Astyanax mexicanus: one gene and its partner. The protein of the gene in region 2 purifies or fractionates together with the protein of the main gene of each other region. This does not show direct contact. Links are inferred from orthologs where the notes say so. Each region holds a gene or a part of one and is shown on either strand. Other genes may lie near its edges.

What was found. The genes of interacting proteins can lie anywhere in the genome.
Region 1: the proteins of shc1 (region 2) and ap2a1 purify together in Homo sapiens (affinity purification with mass spectrometry; 4 studies listed by BioGRID and IntAct, counting the BioPlex papers as one, with this or other methods). This does not show direct contact. The link is inferred for Astyanax mexicanus from reciprocal best matches to the Homo sapiens genes SHC1 and AP2A1.

The regions. Positions count from the first base shown.
Region 1 is NC_064426.1:20,247,359-20,255,011, reverse strand, and holds the start of ap2a1 (AP-2 complex subunit alpha-2), read left to right. Parts: upstream 1-4,554; 5' UTR 4,555-5,431; coding exon 5,432-5,498; intron 5,499-7,653. Other genes in the region: prmt1 (protein arginine N-methyltransferase 1), read right to left, coding at 59-214, 329-424, 1,593-1,661.
Region 2 is NC_064413.1:2,311,830-2,319,563, forward strand, and holds the start of shc1 (SHC-transforming protein 1), read right to left. Parts: upstream 3,082-7,734; 5' UTR 1-3,081. UniProt on the Homo sapiens protein: Signaling adapter that couples activated growth factor receptors to signaling pathways. Participates in a signaling cascade initiated by activated KIT and KITLG/SCF.

The DNA.
Region 1 (7,653 bases), on a different chromosome or scaffold from region 2:
TAGACACACTTCTAATTATGTTACATTATTGACTTGCACAACAAGAATGTCTACTTACCCCAATAACCTTCTTGGCACCAGCCTTAGCTGCAAACATACACAGGATGCCAGTTCCACTGCCCACATCCAACACCACCTTATCTTTGAACAGATGCTTGTTGTGAAACATGGAGTTTCTGTATGTGAGAGTTCGCACTTCATCTTTAAGCATCTCCTGTAAACACCAAATAAAAGCATTAGAAAACAGGTCGTAAGGTAGGAAATTAAGTCTAAACTATTAAATACTGTACAGTATTGAATACAGGGGTATAACAACAAGAGTACCAACCTCGTGGATGCCAAAGTGAGCATAGGAATCAAAGTAGTAGTCCTTGGACGTCATGTCTTCAGCCGCAGGCTTCTCTGAGCTCTCTCCCTGGGACACCTGGAGAACAAAGGATTAAATAAATACTACATTTAAAACAAAAGCCAAAAGAGTTTCAGCCTGGAGTTTTAAGTAAATTGTGTTTTTGTGGAATTTCGCAAGATAAAAAGAACATAAAAGAACACTTAAGGCCCCCAAAATAATTTTAAATGGAATCAAAACTTAAAAAAAAAAAAAAAAACACACTTAAATTCTTAAATTTAACACCCCACAATGGGTGGCGGACTGGAGAAGTTCACAGGAAAAAGGGGGGCAGACAAAGGCTTTTATCACTAACAGACCAGCACACGTGGTATGTAAAATAAATGAGGCCTGGTCCTACAATAAACCGTACTGTACTCGAGCCTCTGAAAGGGAAACGATCCTAAGAAATCATTTTTGTACCTTTTACAGTAAAGGGGTAAGGCCATGTAGATAAAAAATATGTCCTTAAAATTTAAATTCTCAGTTCCACCTTAAAAAGTACAGAAGTTACATTCTGGCGCCGCTAGCTCCATCTGTAGCAGCTGCGGTGCCATTTAAGGTGGACCGGGGAATTCGCGAGAGGCCACCTTTAGCTTCTATAGCTAAAAAAGGTTACTAGTTATGGTCAGTGGCTAAATCTCAGTAGATAAGCTTTACTACTTCAAAACTAACCAAAAAAAGCTCCAACTTCTAATATCACTTTGGTTAACACATGTAGAAACAACGAGGCGGCGGCGTTAGCTACCCGATCTAAGCTAACTAGCTAAGTTGGCTAACATGCTAACCTAGGTAGATACCCAGCTAGCCAATCCCATGCGTTCTCTATTAGCAGCACAGCTAACCTAGCTAAATAACTATAGACAGAATAGTGATTCATTAATAAATACAAACGGAGCAGTAGATAAAACAAACGGAATGTTTAACAGACGCCATAACCCCACGGCGGTACTGTGTGTTAGCAGATTAGCAACCACGTGTTAGTGGAAATGAATGGGGAGCGATGTGCTGCTAAAATGGATGCTCCTATACGCACATTACCGAGAGCTCAGGTCACTACGCAACGAGCTAATTAGCGAAATAAGCGGGTCAGCGGCTCCGCCACACAGCCTCTACCGAACAAACACGGCCCCTAAGCGCGCTGGGATTTCTCCCACATGAACCGCGGTCTCCCCCTGCCCGTCTTTGTTACGCGGCTCCAGCTCACCTCCATCCTGTCCGTCGTCTCCGCCATTTCGCCGACAAGTTTTGGACTCGCAGCTGCAGCGCGGAACATTAAACGCTCCCCTTTAGACTCCCGCCCACATACTCCGGCTCTCTGATTGGACTGCTGCGATGAAGTACCTCCCAAACTACGCCTTTTCCTCTAAATCCAGTCCCCATTGGCTCTAAATCCAGTCATCATATCGGTAATTGGGCCGCTGTAACGTGACCCCACCCATTGTAACGCCCTTTCTGATAAACCCTGTCGCTATTGGCTCAGTGTGAAGCCATCAACGCCGTGATTCGGGATTGTTTGCGATTCCAGCCCCAGTTCCTGCAGTATTTTCGCTTTTCATGTAAATCCTGACCAGTCCAGGTTTTAAATCCACTGAAGAGTTGTGATTGGACAGCTTTCATGTTGCCCCACCCCCGATAGCTTTTATTCTCATTTGAACGTGCCTTGTTTTTTGGAAGGATATTAATAATAGATACAGTCAGTTTATACATTCAATATCATACAGTAGCAGCAGTACTATGTCTGACATAATCATGCCAGATGAACTTATTTTGTATGTAAACTTAATTTCACTATCAATCAATTAATATGAATTCTTTTCAAATGTTTTGATCTAGTCATGGGTTGTAATTATTGCTTATCATTTGATAAAAAAAATTGTATAATTTTGATTAGAATGAACAAAAAAAAGGCAAATAATACTTTCCCTAATATTTGTGTCCATTCTGGCCAGTAAGACATGAGTTGTGTTCCAATTGCGTACCTACTAGTAGTAACTAGTTTTGGGGTATTTAGTGTGTAGTATAGATAAAAGTTGAGTATACTAAAAAATCTGCCAAAAAAGGAAAAACATAAATTATTTTTAAAAAGTGCCTTATGACTTCACTGCCAGTAAAAACGGGTTTATTTATTAATATTTTTGTGTGCTAACCTGCAAAACTCACACTATTAGGACCAGTATATAGTACATACCTATATTATTATTATGCAGTTCGCAATTGGGACGCACCCTTGGAAAACGCTAGAGGGCGCTCTTGAGTAAATCTAAAAAGAAATATTCCTTTTGTGTAAATTCCTAATTGTTAGATGATTCATCGTTTTTTACACAGGCAGTAGCAGCATATAACGTTTATCACTGACATGTATATAAGTGCTTTTTAACTTACAAAACTCACAAAACTACGTATTCACTTTTTGTAAACATCTTCTCTAATTAATGCATTCAATTACTTTAAGTTGCACCCATTGCTGGAACAAAAAGAGAAAAGTACACACACAGCTTATCTAGTCCCTGTAGAAAAGTTTTGCCAATAGAATAAGCCATCCCTGGACAATAGAGACAGTTACTCAGTTACTAAAAATGGTTGTTTGTGTTTCTACTGTAATACTGCATTAAATATTTTATTGTGCTATTGATATTGATTTGATATTGTTGTAAAATGACAGCACTGCATTGCAGTTACTGTGACAGGGCCTGAAATAAGCAGCTATCTCCCTCCATCGCAGAGTAAAAAGCTGATCAATGATGTCAGATAGAGTGTAGTTGCAATGATTGGTGTTGAGGATGGTGTAAAGTATACAGCAAAGGGAGCAATTGACTTTCCACACAGGGCAGTGGGTATTGCGTAATGATCATATTTATGATACTTCATAGCAAGTGACATTAATCTTCCATAATAAAGTCCACGGTGTGGTGGCACAGTACGTCAGGATGGTTTATTGCAGTGTGCAGTACACTGAGGTTAATGTTCCCAGAGAGCCAGAAAAACAGATGTTCAAGGATAACATGCTAAAAATCTATTTTTTTTATATAATATTGACAAATCTATGATCAAAACTGTGGTAAACCAGTGTGTCAGACATCAGACAGCATACCAAAATCCGTTAACTTTCTGTAAATGAGCTCTTAGAGATGGTTCCTTTCATTTGAACCATATCAAATAACTCAAATACGCTTATTTTCCGCTAGACTATTTGATTATATCATATATAAAATAAATATATTTAATGTAGAAACAAAGCAAGTTTTACTGATCCAGATTCAATTTAAACGAGCTATTAATGTTTTCATAACGGCATTACAAACTATTACCAGCCAATCAGCGTGTGCTGTGGTAGCAGGGGGGCGGAGCTTCTCGAGAGGAAGCACTAGAATCCTTTACTACTGATACTGCTGGAGTGTAGACGAACTTTGATTCAGTTTACCGAACCGATTCTTTCGAATTGCCCGATTCAGTGACTCATTCTCGTTTTTAGGGTGGGAGAGGTCCCGCAATTATTAGCTTGCTTTTTTTGTTTACATTGTGGCAAAAATCAAAATACAGCTGCATGAATCATAAAACGATATTCGTACACATAGATAAAATAAGATTGCAAATAATGTATTAATAAATAATAAAATAATAGATAATCTAAATAATAATAAAATAAAATAAAATAAAAAAACTGAGAAGTTGCAGATATTTAAAAAGTACACGTTATAAACATAAAATAATTAAGTAATGCAATTACATGTAGATTTTAATAGTTTTAAACAAATTGCATCATATACAACACACATTTTTTTACCACAATTTTACTGTGTGGAAAAAAACACAGTGTTTTTTTCTAGTGCATGCTGTGCACGATTAATAAACCAGGGAGCAGACAACATGTATTTAATTTCCTTATGCATGCAATGAATAACAACAACAACACAATATAATATTGTCTTTATTTATTTATCATGCATCTTCGTCTCTTCTTCTTGATGAGAATCGTGGTTCTGGAACCTACGAGTATCACTGAGTGCAAGAAACTAAATAAAAGTATAAATATACTTCTAACATAATGATAACTTAGTTTTGAACACTAAAGTAAACATTATATAGGCTGCCACAGTAAGGATTAATTCACTCTGATTCGGTTCAATGGATTTATTTGCAAATGAACCGATTCTTTCCCGAGTCGGACATCGCTATTCGTTCGTTCTGTCACGAGCCTCGTCCGTGAACACCGACCTGGCGCGGCAGGCACGAAACCGACGACCTCGAACCGAATTCTAGACTACATATTTGTGTTTTTCCAGCTAAATATAAGATTGTTCGCCGAAAAAAACGTTAGGTTTGACCGTCTCCGACCGCGCTGGTCATTCCGGGTGATGTATTCTAACGTTTGATAGCGCTAGCCTGCCAGCTAGCTGGTCCGCTAGCTCGCCGTGCCGTGACTCACAGCGAGCAGAAAGGAGATCAAATATTTTATTTTTTAATCGCTTTCCTCCCTCTCCCGGTGGCTGTTTATGTTGTGTAGGACATCCACTCATCTACAGTGTGTTATAGGAAAACGACCCGCTGTAAATTTGGTTTTACACACCAAGTGACTCAGTCCTGTCGTCGTTTGGGCCAGTAGTTAAATTTTGGACTGTTGGGTTTGAATGAATTTAAACGGCGGCGGTCGGAGCGCAGCGGGTTTCTCGCTTATGAATTGACAGATACATATTTTGAATAAAGAAGCACACAGGCAGAAAGAGAGATAGGTTGTAGACACTTTGACTTTCAGGTCTGGTTATTTCAGCTTTCACACAACTGTGTTAGCAGCTATCGTTAGCTAGGTGGCTAACTCTCTAGCACATTAAACATCCATCAAAAGCGCCAGAGTACGGGTTAGTTAACGTTAGCTTTAGCTAGCTTCTCGGCTAACATAGCTCTAGCTAGTTAGGTAGCTCAGTGGTGCTGTGCTACGAAACGAGCGTATTTTGTGGAAAGCGAGGTGAGCTAAACCGTCGTAGGTCGACAAAAAGTGGTTTATTTTTCGTGTAAGGTGAGAAGAAACAACAAAATCCTGCAAAGATGCCGGCTGTGTCGAAAGGAGACGGAATGCGAGGATTAGCGGTCTTCATATCGGACATAAGAAACTGTAAGTGCCATTTATACTATTAAGAGTGACTGTTTATAGGCCTATAGCTAATATAGAGGGTGTTTATGCTTAAAAAAAACGAAGCATAAGGATAATTTACAGCTGTTAAATAGTTAGCTAATGGTGAAGGTTAGGGAGCTGGTTTTGGTCCAACGCGGGTCTCCCTTGTAGGATGTGTAGATAAGCTAGCTAACTAGCTAGCGCTATCTAGGTGAGCTAGTTAAGTCTAAAGTAGCTATCTGGAAAGCTAACGAGTTAACCTAGCTAAGGAGAGGTCGTTGATTTAGTGTGCGTCCACTCAGGTTACACTGCTTTGGATGTGCTTGATATGATATATGATATTTGAAGGCCCTGCTCACTGTGGATTAGGCTAACTAGCTAGCTACATCCTGGAAATGATCTTCCACAGTTTGCAGAGACATGTAGGTAACGTAGTTAGGCCTCTACGATAAACCCCAGATTCCTCTAGAGATCCAACAGTTACACGTAGCATCTGTTATTAATTTGTCTTTGCCTAAATAAGCCAAGCCTAAAGAGGTCAGTCAGTCAGTCTTGTAGTGGAGACCGGGTCTTGTCTAACCCAAGTCTCTCTTGTGGGATGGGCAGGTAAGGGGGGGGGGGGGGGGTCGCTTCATGTGGGTTCCACCAACATTGCAATGGATGTTCTTGATATGTTGTCTGATATGACATGAAAGGCCCTGCTCAGTGTGGAGTACATCCTGGAAATGATCCTCCACAGTTTGCAGAGGCACGTAGGCTTCTTTTGGAGGCAGGATACAAACATAGCAACTTCATAAGCTGTTTATAATCCAAAAGTAGCCATGCGTTATTATGAAGTTTCATAGTGTTTTAATTTAGCGTAATGGTTTAGGTTTAACCCTGATCTGATTTTGGGATGAGCGTGTAACAAGGGGTCATTGCTCCACGAGAGTTCTACCTACACTGCTTTGGACGTGCTTGATATGATATTTGAATGCCCTGCTTGGTGTGGAATAGGCAAACAAGCTAGCTAGAAAGTTACATCCTGAAAATTATCTTCCACACTTTGCAGGGGTAATGTTATGTAGCTAGTCAGCTAGGCCTCTAGACAAACACCAGTTTTTGCTTCAGACCTAGAAGTTACACGTAGCAAGCTCACAATCTGTTAGTAATCTGTCTTTGCCTAAAGAAGCCATGCCCAAAGAAGTCAGTCAGCCAGTCACTCCTGTAGTGGAGATTGGGTTTAGTCCAACCCAAGTCTCTCTTTTGGGATGGGCAGGTGAGGGAGTTCGTTGCTTCAAGTGTGTTCCACCAACATTTCTGTGGATGTTTTTGATATGATATCTGATATGACATGCAAGGCCTTGCACAGTGTGGACCGTGAAGTACATCCTGGAAGGCTACTTTAACAAAACCAGTTTTTTGCCTTAGAAGCTGGAGATGATCATAGTTATCTTCACAGGCTGTTCTTGGTCTTGGCCAAATATAGCCATGCATTTTATTTTGACTATTTAGTGTTGTAATTTAGTGGAATAGTTTTGCTCCATCCCTTGTCTAGTTGTGGTATGAACAGGTGAGGAGGAGACATTGCTTCATGAGTGTTTCCACATACATTGCTTTAGGTGTTCTTGGGATGATATCTGAAATTATATAAAAGACCCTCCTTAGTGTGGAGTATGTCATGAAATAATCTTCCACCTTTTTGCAAAGGCTTGTCTGCCTCTACTACAAAGCCAAACCAATCTAGATCAGCTGTGTTTGTATGATAAAACTACAGGCACTTCCTATGGGATTGAGTGTTACAGAGACCAGTCTTTTTTTACTTACAGTTGCTAATGTTGTAGTCAACTGGTTTTGGTCAAAGCCAGTTTTTTCTTGTGGGCTGGTGGGTAAAGGTAGTTTATTTAGCCCAATATTTGTTCCACTTGCATTGTTACTGGATGTGCTTGCTATGTTTTTTAATGTTTTTTTTTTAAACTTATGTTTTTTATAAGTGATATGAGATTAAAAGCTCTGCTTGCTGTGAAGTGTCTTGTAAAGGATCTTCTACCTTTTTCAAAGCTGTGTAGACCCTTTTCAACAAAACAAAGAGGTTTGCATCTCAGAAACAGAAGATAAACACAGCAAGTTCACAAGTGTCCATAATCTGTCCTCACCAAAAGGAGCCATGACAACT
Region 2 (7,734 bases):
AATGAGAACCATGTCCAGTAGTGTTCAGTAGTGTCATGTGCGATAATAATGTTTCAGAGTGATAAACCGCCAACCCCTATAAAGGCGGAGTTCCCCCGAGAATGACAAACACCAGCTTGTCAGCCTAATGATAATGAGACCTGATTGGCTCTGTCTGACGTTCCGCCCTCAGAGATCTCGGAGAAGAGGGGCTCATTAGAGGCTGACTGGAAAATCAATCACTCCCTCATTACCTTAAGTGACACCTAGGAGCTGCGGAATAGTACCATCATATGAAATCTGTTTCCTGAGAGAAAAGCTACCCTGAAAGCAGCTTGACCTAGCCGGGTCCTCAAGTCCTTGAGTCCTCGAGTCCTAACAAAGCTTCAAGCCAGAAAAGCGACAGTCTTTAAAAGCTGACGCTTCTAAACAGTCTGGAACGGACTCGAGCAGAACAGTCTTAGCACAAGAATTCATCGCAATCTAATCCCACTACATCTGTTACCTTAATCTCCAAAGCACTTTCTGTTCTAACAGTATGCACACTTCTCAGCCCGAGCTACTGCTGGCAGTAGTCTAGCCTCGCTCATTAGGCTCTCATCCTCAGAGGCTTCCGCTGCATATTTGTCTTCCGTCAGCGTAGACGTGTGAGCAGCTGCTTTAATCATCAGATAAACTGACGAGATGTTAATCAGATTGTTCTAAACAGCACCAATTGCTATAGTCGGGTAGAGCAAAACCCATTAGCAAAGTCCTAAAAGACGTGACGAGCAGTCAGATTGGCAATCACGGCCACTGCAGGACTCCTTACTTACTTACTCTAATAAGATCCTTGCTGGGAGCTTTGCTCCAAGACAAAGGTTTCCCAACGCTGCTATGTTAAAGTGTAAAAGTTTAACAGCTGCGATATAAGTAGTAGTGTCTTTTCAGTGCAGCTCCAAAGAGGTCCGGTAAGTGCAATAGGTCAAATGCACCAGTGGTTACAAGGACATGGCACAGAGTATGAATCACTGGCGTAGTTCTACTGTGCGAGCTGTACCGCACTTGCACGTACACCATCCACACTATCCACTCAGGAAAAAAAGGACAGGTGCATTTGCAATCAAACTGCATTCAAATGTTTGTTTGCAATCCAACGTTTGCAACAAACAAGCTCTCGGTGTTGTGACCAACGCTTCATGGCACACGTGGAGCACAGTGTTCGGGAAGAAACAGTGCAAAGGGAGTAGAAAACCCAACGAGAACTTTACAAAGAACATTTATTTAGTAACAGTACAGCGAACCGAGCCTCGGATGGAGTCAAACCAAGGCAGCTCAGATGTAGCACCTGTTCGTCAAGAGTATGGCAGAATCCCTGTTGGAATAGGACAGTCTGTTCCAGGATTGAACGAATGAGCCGCTGCCATTTGACTGTAGACACGATGTACTGTCAATCCCAGTGTAGGACGCTGGAAAATAAGAGGTAACAAGTGTCTGTAGAAAGTATGCAAGTGAAAAACTTTTCCAGAATTACACGAAAGACGTAAAAGACGAGGACGGAAACTTCTGCAGGACACTCACGATTACGGCTTACAGGTCCGCTTCAGGTGATGTTAGTTGGTTAATTGATTAATCGGTTAATCATCAGCCAGGTTTTAGTTAGTCTTAAGGAATTAGTGCAGATGAAAAATTGCACAGTATGGCTGGCCATCCCTTGGTGGAGGCAAAACCTGAGTTACTACCACACAATTTTACTCAAACACACAAAACACACAACTTTACATGTACATGTACACGCAAACGGTAATACACAATATATATATATTTTTTTTTTCACACGTACATGTCAAAGAACCTGAATGCGACAATATGAGACAAAGTAGTGCACTACTTTTTACTTTCTGTGACGAAACAAGATTAGACGCTTAGATTAGTTTATGAGAAAGTAAACCAGTGTAAATCCTGAATGATTGAATGATGACTTGTCGATTTAGTCCTTTAGTCATTGCCAGTGATGCAACATGATCTAGCAAACTGTACAGATTGTACTGAAAAAGTACACACAAACATTAGACAAGAGTGAGACAAGAGAAGAGAGAAATAGAAGAAAAAGAGCACCAAGAATCCTGGCTTAGCTTGCTCGAAGGAACAGATCTTACCCAAGTCGCGCGAGCTTGAGCGACCTCGAAAGTTCGCTTCACGGCAAGATACGAAACAAAGAAGAAGAACTTCGCGGTAGCCAGGTTGTTGCCATGGCAATAGACTGGAGAGCAGAATCCTGCCAGACAAAATCTTTGACGGAAACCCAAACAAAAGGCGAGCCCACCAACACAAAACCTGTCCTCTCTCTCTCTTTACTGTTGGCCAATCGAAGCAGACTTTGGAGAGGGACTCTGACTCCGGCTGCAGAATAAAGAAGGCTCGGCGGGAGTCCTGCGGGGGATCAATAGTCTGATGAACACGCTGCCATGAGACAGCAAAGTTTGGCTGTCGTCTCCACGGCCATAAAGCTAATCAATGCTGACATCTCCACGCAGAGTGCATCAGATAGCATCGCTGTCCAAGGCTGGCTCTTACACAAAGCACCGTCAGCCAGCGCACCAGTCCGGAGGAAATCAAGTATTGCTCAAGGCTACGCTTCCGGACAAAAAACAGAACATTTACAAAAAGGACTGCCTGCCAAGAGCACTCGACCTACTGGAGTTTCCAAAGAGAAAAGAGAAAGTCTCTTTGCCAATCGAGTTCATTAACTTAACGCACAAAGTTTTGCATACAAGGAACCTGATTATTGACTGCATATATACGATTGAGTGTTTAAGTAACCAGTAGGCTATGCATACACACTCTCACACTCTCACACTCACACACTCACACATACACTACAGAAAAGAAAATGTAATCTAAAGTAAACAATTTTTGACATCTGGATTTTCGCTCCTGCTGCGAAAGGTTCAATCTTTCAGTCTGTCAATCAAAAAGAATCAAATATAAAAAGCTTGCATGATTATCTTCAGCAACGTGTCGGGAACAAATATCGTCCACGTTCATGTTCCTATCCTTCAATGGTGCAGTTTTTTGTCAGTGGTCATATTTGTCGTCTTGCTCCATCTTTCTCTCTCTATCTCTCTTCATCTACCTTTCCCTTGTTCTCTCGTTCGCTCAGTCAGTCTCCTCCCTCAGAGAGGAACAACGTGGTCTTGCTTTCATTCATTGACTTGCTTCCTCTCGTTACCGGAAAATAAATAAATAAATTACAAAGTCATAGCCGGGCTCTGCTTCCTCTCTCGTCCGCACGCGGATCCCGTCCTTCCCTCTCTCCTCTCCTGAAGACTGGAACGAAGGATCGGCCGGGCGATCTGCCTTTGTTCTCTTCTCCGTCCCCCGCGCTCTCTCTCATCCTCCTCTTTTTCCCACCTCCGTCTGCATTTGGGGAGTGAGCGCTGCAGCCAACTGTCCTCTGCTCTCTTCGCCTCCTTGTCTAGCGCCCTCTCTCTCTCTTTCTCTTTTTCCCTCGCTCCCTCTCTCTCTCTCTCTCTCCCTGTGCACGTTCAGACGTTGATGGTGCTGCTGATTCCTGTTTCCACCTCCCTGCCTCTGCTGCTCCCCCTCCCTCGCTCCCTCCCTCGCTGGCTGGCTGTCTCCTCGCAGGCATCAGTCATTCATGCATTTACGCATTTATGTTGGGGCTGAACTATGCAGGAGAATTATGCATCAACTATTAATTGCTAAAGGTAAAAATGAGTTAATAGCACAGCTGTTTCTATCAAATTATAAAAGAGTACCCTGCTGTACCTAGCATGTACATTAACAGTACGTTAGCTGGGGATGCACTGATGTGTGATATATTGTGGGTTGATGCTAATTTCTGATATTGCGTAACATTAATAAACATGGAATAAAACATGGAAATTAGCATTAGCTTTAGGGATGCAAATAACTATTTTATTAGTCGAATTTTAGACTAATCAACTTTCAGTAAGTTGATTAATCACGATTATTATCTTGCTCTCCATTTGTGCTTTCTATTGATGAGGCTCTAGATTCAGTGCATGTTTTACTGCATTTTCACATCTTAAATTTTAGAGCCTTAGACTTTTTTAGATTTTGCAGTACATTTTTATATAAAACTACAAACCATATATAGGAGAAATTCGCAAATGGCAGATGTAACAGATGTAACTCTTTTAAAATATCTTCAAATGAGATGTAAATATTGATAGAATGTATATATATTACTTTGGATCTGACCCATGTTGTGATCAAAAGACAGTTTGCATTTTATTTGAGTAATTTTTGTGAAAATTGGACTGAGAGGGAAATGTACAAAAACTCAATGTTTTTTTTATTCATGAAAATTCATCTATTATATATATATATATATATATACACACACACATTGGAATTAGAATAATAACATTAACATTAGAATAATAAGAGACACACTTGGAGGAGTTGCAGTTACTGTATGTGTGTTAAAGGGACACGAGCAAGCTTAGCTATGTACTTTGTTTTATATTGGTTGTCAATATTGGTTATGTGATATTGGGGCCAATAAATTTATAGTTACTGTGAGTATTTGCTAATTTAATGTATCGTGAGATACCCTACGATTCCCACTCCTGGTAGTTATTTCAGTTGCGTATTTGAGTTGTGGGTTTAGATAAGGGGAAATGTTTAATGCGTCACTGGATATTTTGAACCACTCTTTATTTTACTGAATTGGAAAAAAGAGTGTTTTTTGTAAAAACTGAAAGTAGACGGATGCTGCCGCTGATGACTGAATGGAAGGACTGAACTGACGGATGCTGGGGAAGCAGGTGAACCACCCTCCACTGGTAACCAAAGAGCTGTAGGGACAGAGGAAGGCTTGTATGGGATGAGTTAATTCCTCTTTCCTTCCTCTAATTTTTGCATTTCCTTCTTTCTGTTTCTTTCCTCTAACCTGCTGTGACCTCCTCTTCCGGCACACAGACAGAACAATTCCAAGGAAACAATTCCAAGGTTAAACGGTGGATATGTTCCCCCACACCGTCGTGGAGCTCCTACAGGAACAGGCAGGCGGCGCTGGGATGATAACGGCTGCACGCGCCGGCCGTTAGATTCTCCAGACGCCGGCGGCAGTCCGCTCAGATAAGTGACCTGAATATCGGAAGCAGTGACAACAAAGCTGCTGCAAACTACAATTCCCAGAGTGCACTAGGGGAGAGTAGTTTTTTTCCAGGGAGGATGGGGGAACGTGCACATGACTGCCGGCTGGGGGAACAGGGACATCATGTCAGGTTTCATTCGAGTGTGTTACCCGGTCACTGAGGAGCGCTGAAACGTCAGTCAGGAGCGCCGAGAGAAAAAAAGAGAAAAAACTGAGAGACTAAACGCAGCTGTATCACCGTCTGCAGCAAGAGAGAGAGAGAGAGAGACAGGGAAAGAGAGAGAAAAAAAAGAGAAAGGGACAAACAGAGAAAGAGAGAAAAACAGAGAAAGAGACATAGCGACAAAAGAGACAGAGAGAGAGAAAGAAAGAGAGAGAATGAGAGAAAGAGAGAGACAGAGTAAATAATAATAAGTTCTGTTGTTGTAATTGTATGTATGTAATCTTTATTTTAATTCATTATTATTAATTATGTTTTTGTTTGTTTGTTTTTCTGTTTTATGCTTTGGCAATAGTGTTGATTGTTACATTCATGCCAATAAAGCAATGCTGAACTGAACTGAACAGAGAAGAGAAAAAAGAGACACAAAGAGAAAGAGAGACAGAGAAAAAAAAAGACGGAGAGAGAGAGACCATGAGAGAGACAGGGAGACAGAAAGAGAGAGAGAGAAAGAGAGAGATACCAAAAGAGAAAGAGACAGAAAGACAGATAGAGAGACAAAGAGAGAAAGAGAGAGAGAGAGAGAGGGAGAGAGAGAGAGAGAAAAAAACACTATCGTTTATTAGCTTTAGAGAAACGATAACATTCAAGACACAATGTATGGATGCACTGACTATTTGGCAACCAAAATTATTCAGCCATAAAAGCCAAAAAAAAAAAAAAAAAGACTAAATATCTCGTACAGAAAAATGACTCATTAATATAAAATCACATTTAAGTGTTTCCTTTCTTCAGCCACACACTCCACAAATGGCAAGTTTAAGTTCATTTTTACGCTCTTCTAAAAACAAAGCATTCAGCATGGCTTCTCACAATCTGTATTAGCTTACTATCCTTTCACAAACTTTACTATCTGCACAAACTGTTTGAAAGTAAAGATTCGAGGTAAAAGGGCAGGTGTGAAAAAAGTGCAACTCACTTACAAACCCTTTAAAGGAGCACTGAAGCTGAGGAACAGTGCAATCAATGATGTTTCATGCAAGAAACATGACAATTATATTCTTCAGCTGCCTGAATTCACTTTTTAAAAAGTTACCAGATGTGTGAACCATGGTTGAGAGACTTGATGAAGGATGTAGTTGGGATAGATTTCCACTGAAAAGAATAAAAATTCTGCTGCATGAATTGTAGCTCCCAGAACAAAAAAATAAATAAATAAAAAATAAAAATGCAGAACAGTCCGTCATTTTCTTGTTGAAAAATGCCTTCAGTCTTCAGCCTTCGTTTTGATGACATTCTTTAAACAAAAGTTTTTTTTTTGTTTTAAAACTGATATGAAAGAATAAACGAAAGAAAGAAAGAACAAGTATCAAGCAAAGTTTCTGTCCAAATCTGAACAAGATCAGAGGAACCCACACCAAAGCAGAAGACCATCCCGTCAAACCACAGTCAGACAAGAGTTCAGACCGAAAACCAGAGGAGCTACAAAAGCAGAAGATCAGAAAGAATAAAAAACGAGAGGGGTACTGAGGATACGCACGGATGCATCCATGTGGCGACGCTTCAGACGACTCGCCCTCCACCCGGTGGTGCATGCAGGAGTGTTAGTCTGGGCATGGAGGCTGATGTTTACTGTGGTGTAATCTAATAGCGCTCAGGCCACGGCGCGTACGCAACGGCTCAACTAACCCAACTCTAACAGGAAGTGACTCAGAGGAGCTGAGAGCCACACTTTATGATAAATTGCAGTCCACCACGACCTACATTCTCAGCTCCCCACAGAAACGTAACATGTGCGATCTGCAGAGGAGCTTCAGAGACGCCTCTATTGTGCTGACGTGCATTAAAAAAAAATATATATCCATTTGCTCTCTGCTGGATAAGGCTTTCTGCTGGCTCGCCTCTCGCCCCTATTTCAGACATTTCTACTTAACATATTCCTAGATATACAGCTCTGGAAAAAAATAAGAAACCACTTCAGTTTCTGAATCAGTTTCTTTGATTTTGCAATTTATAGGTTTATGTTTGAGTAAAATTAACATTGCTGTTTTATTCTATAAACTACAGACAACATTTCTCCCAAATTCAGGAAAAAAATAGTCATTTTGAGCATTTATTTATAGGAAATGAGAAACGGCTCAAATAACAAAAACAAAAAAGACGCAGAGCTTTCATACCTTAAATAATACAAAGAAAACAAGTTCATATTCATATAGACGTTTTAAGAATTCAGAAATTAATATGTGGCGGAATAACCCTGGTTGGTTTTTAATCACAGTTATTTCTCTTTATTCTACTTTATGCCTGCACTTTATGGCTTGTGACCATCCATCTTCCTCTTGATTATATTCCAGAGGTTTTCAATTTGGTAAAATCAAAGAAACTCATCATTTTTAAGTGTTTTTTTTTTTTTTTTAGCTATATGTGCATATTAGGGCAAAACCATATTTTGCTTGTTATGCAATAC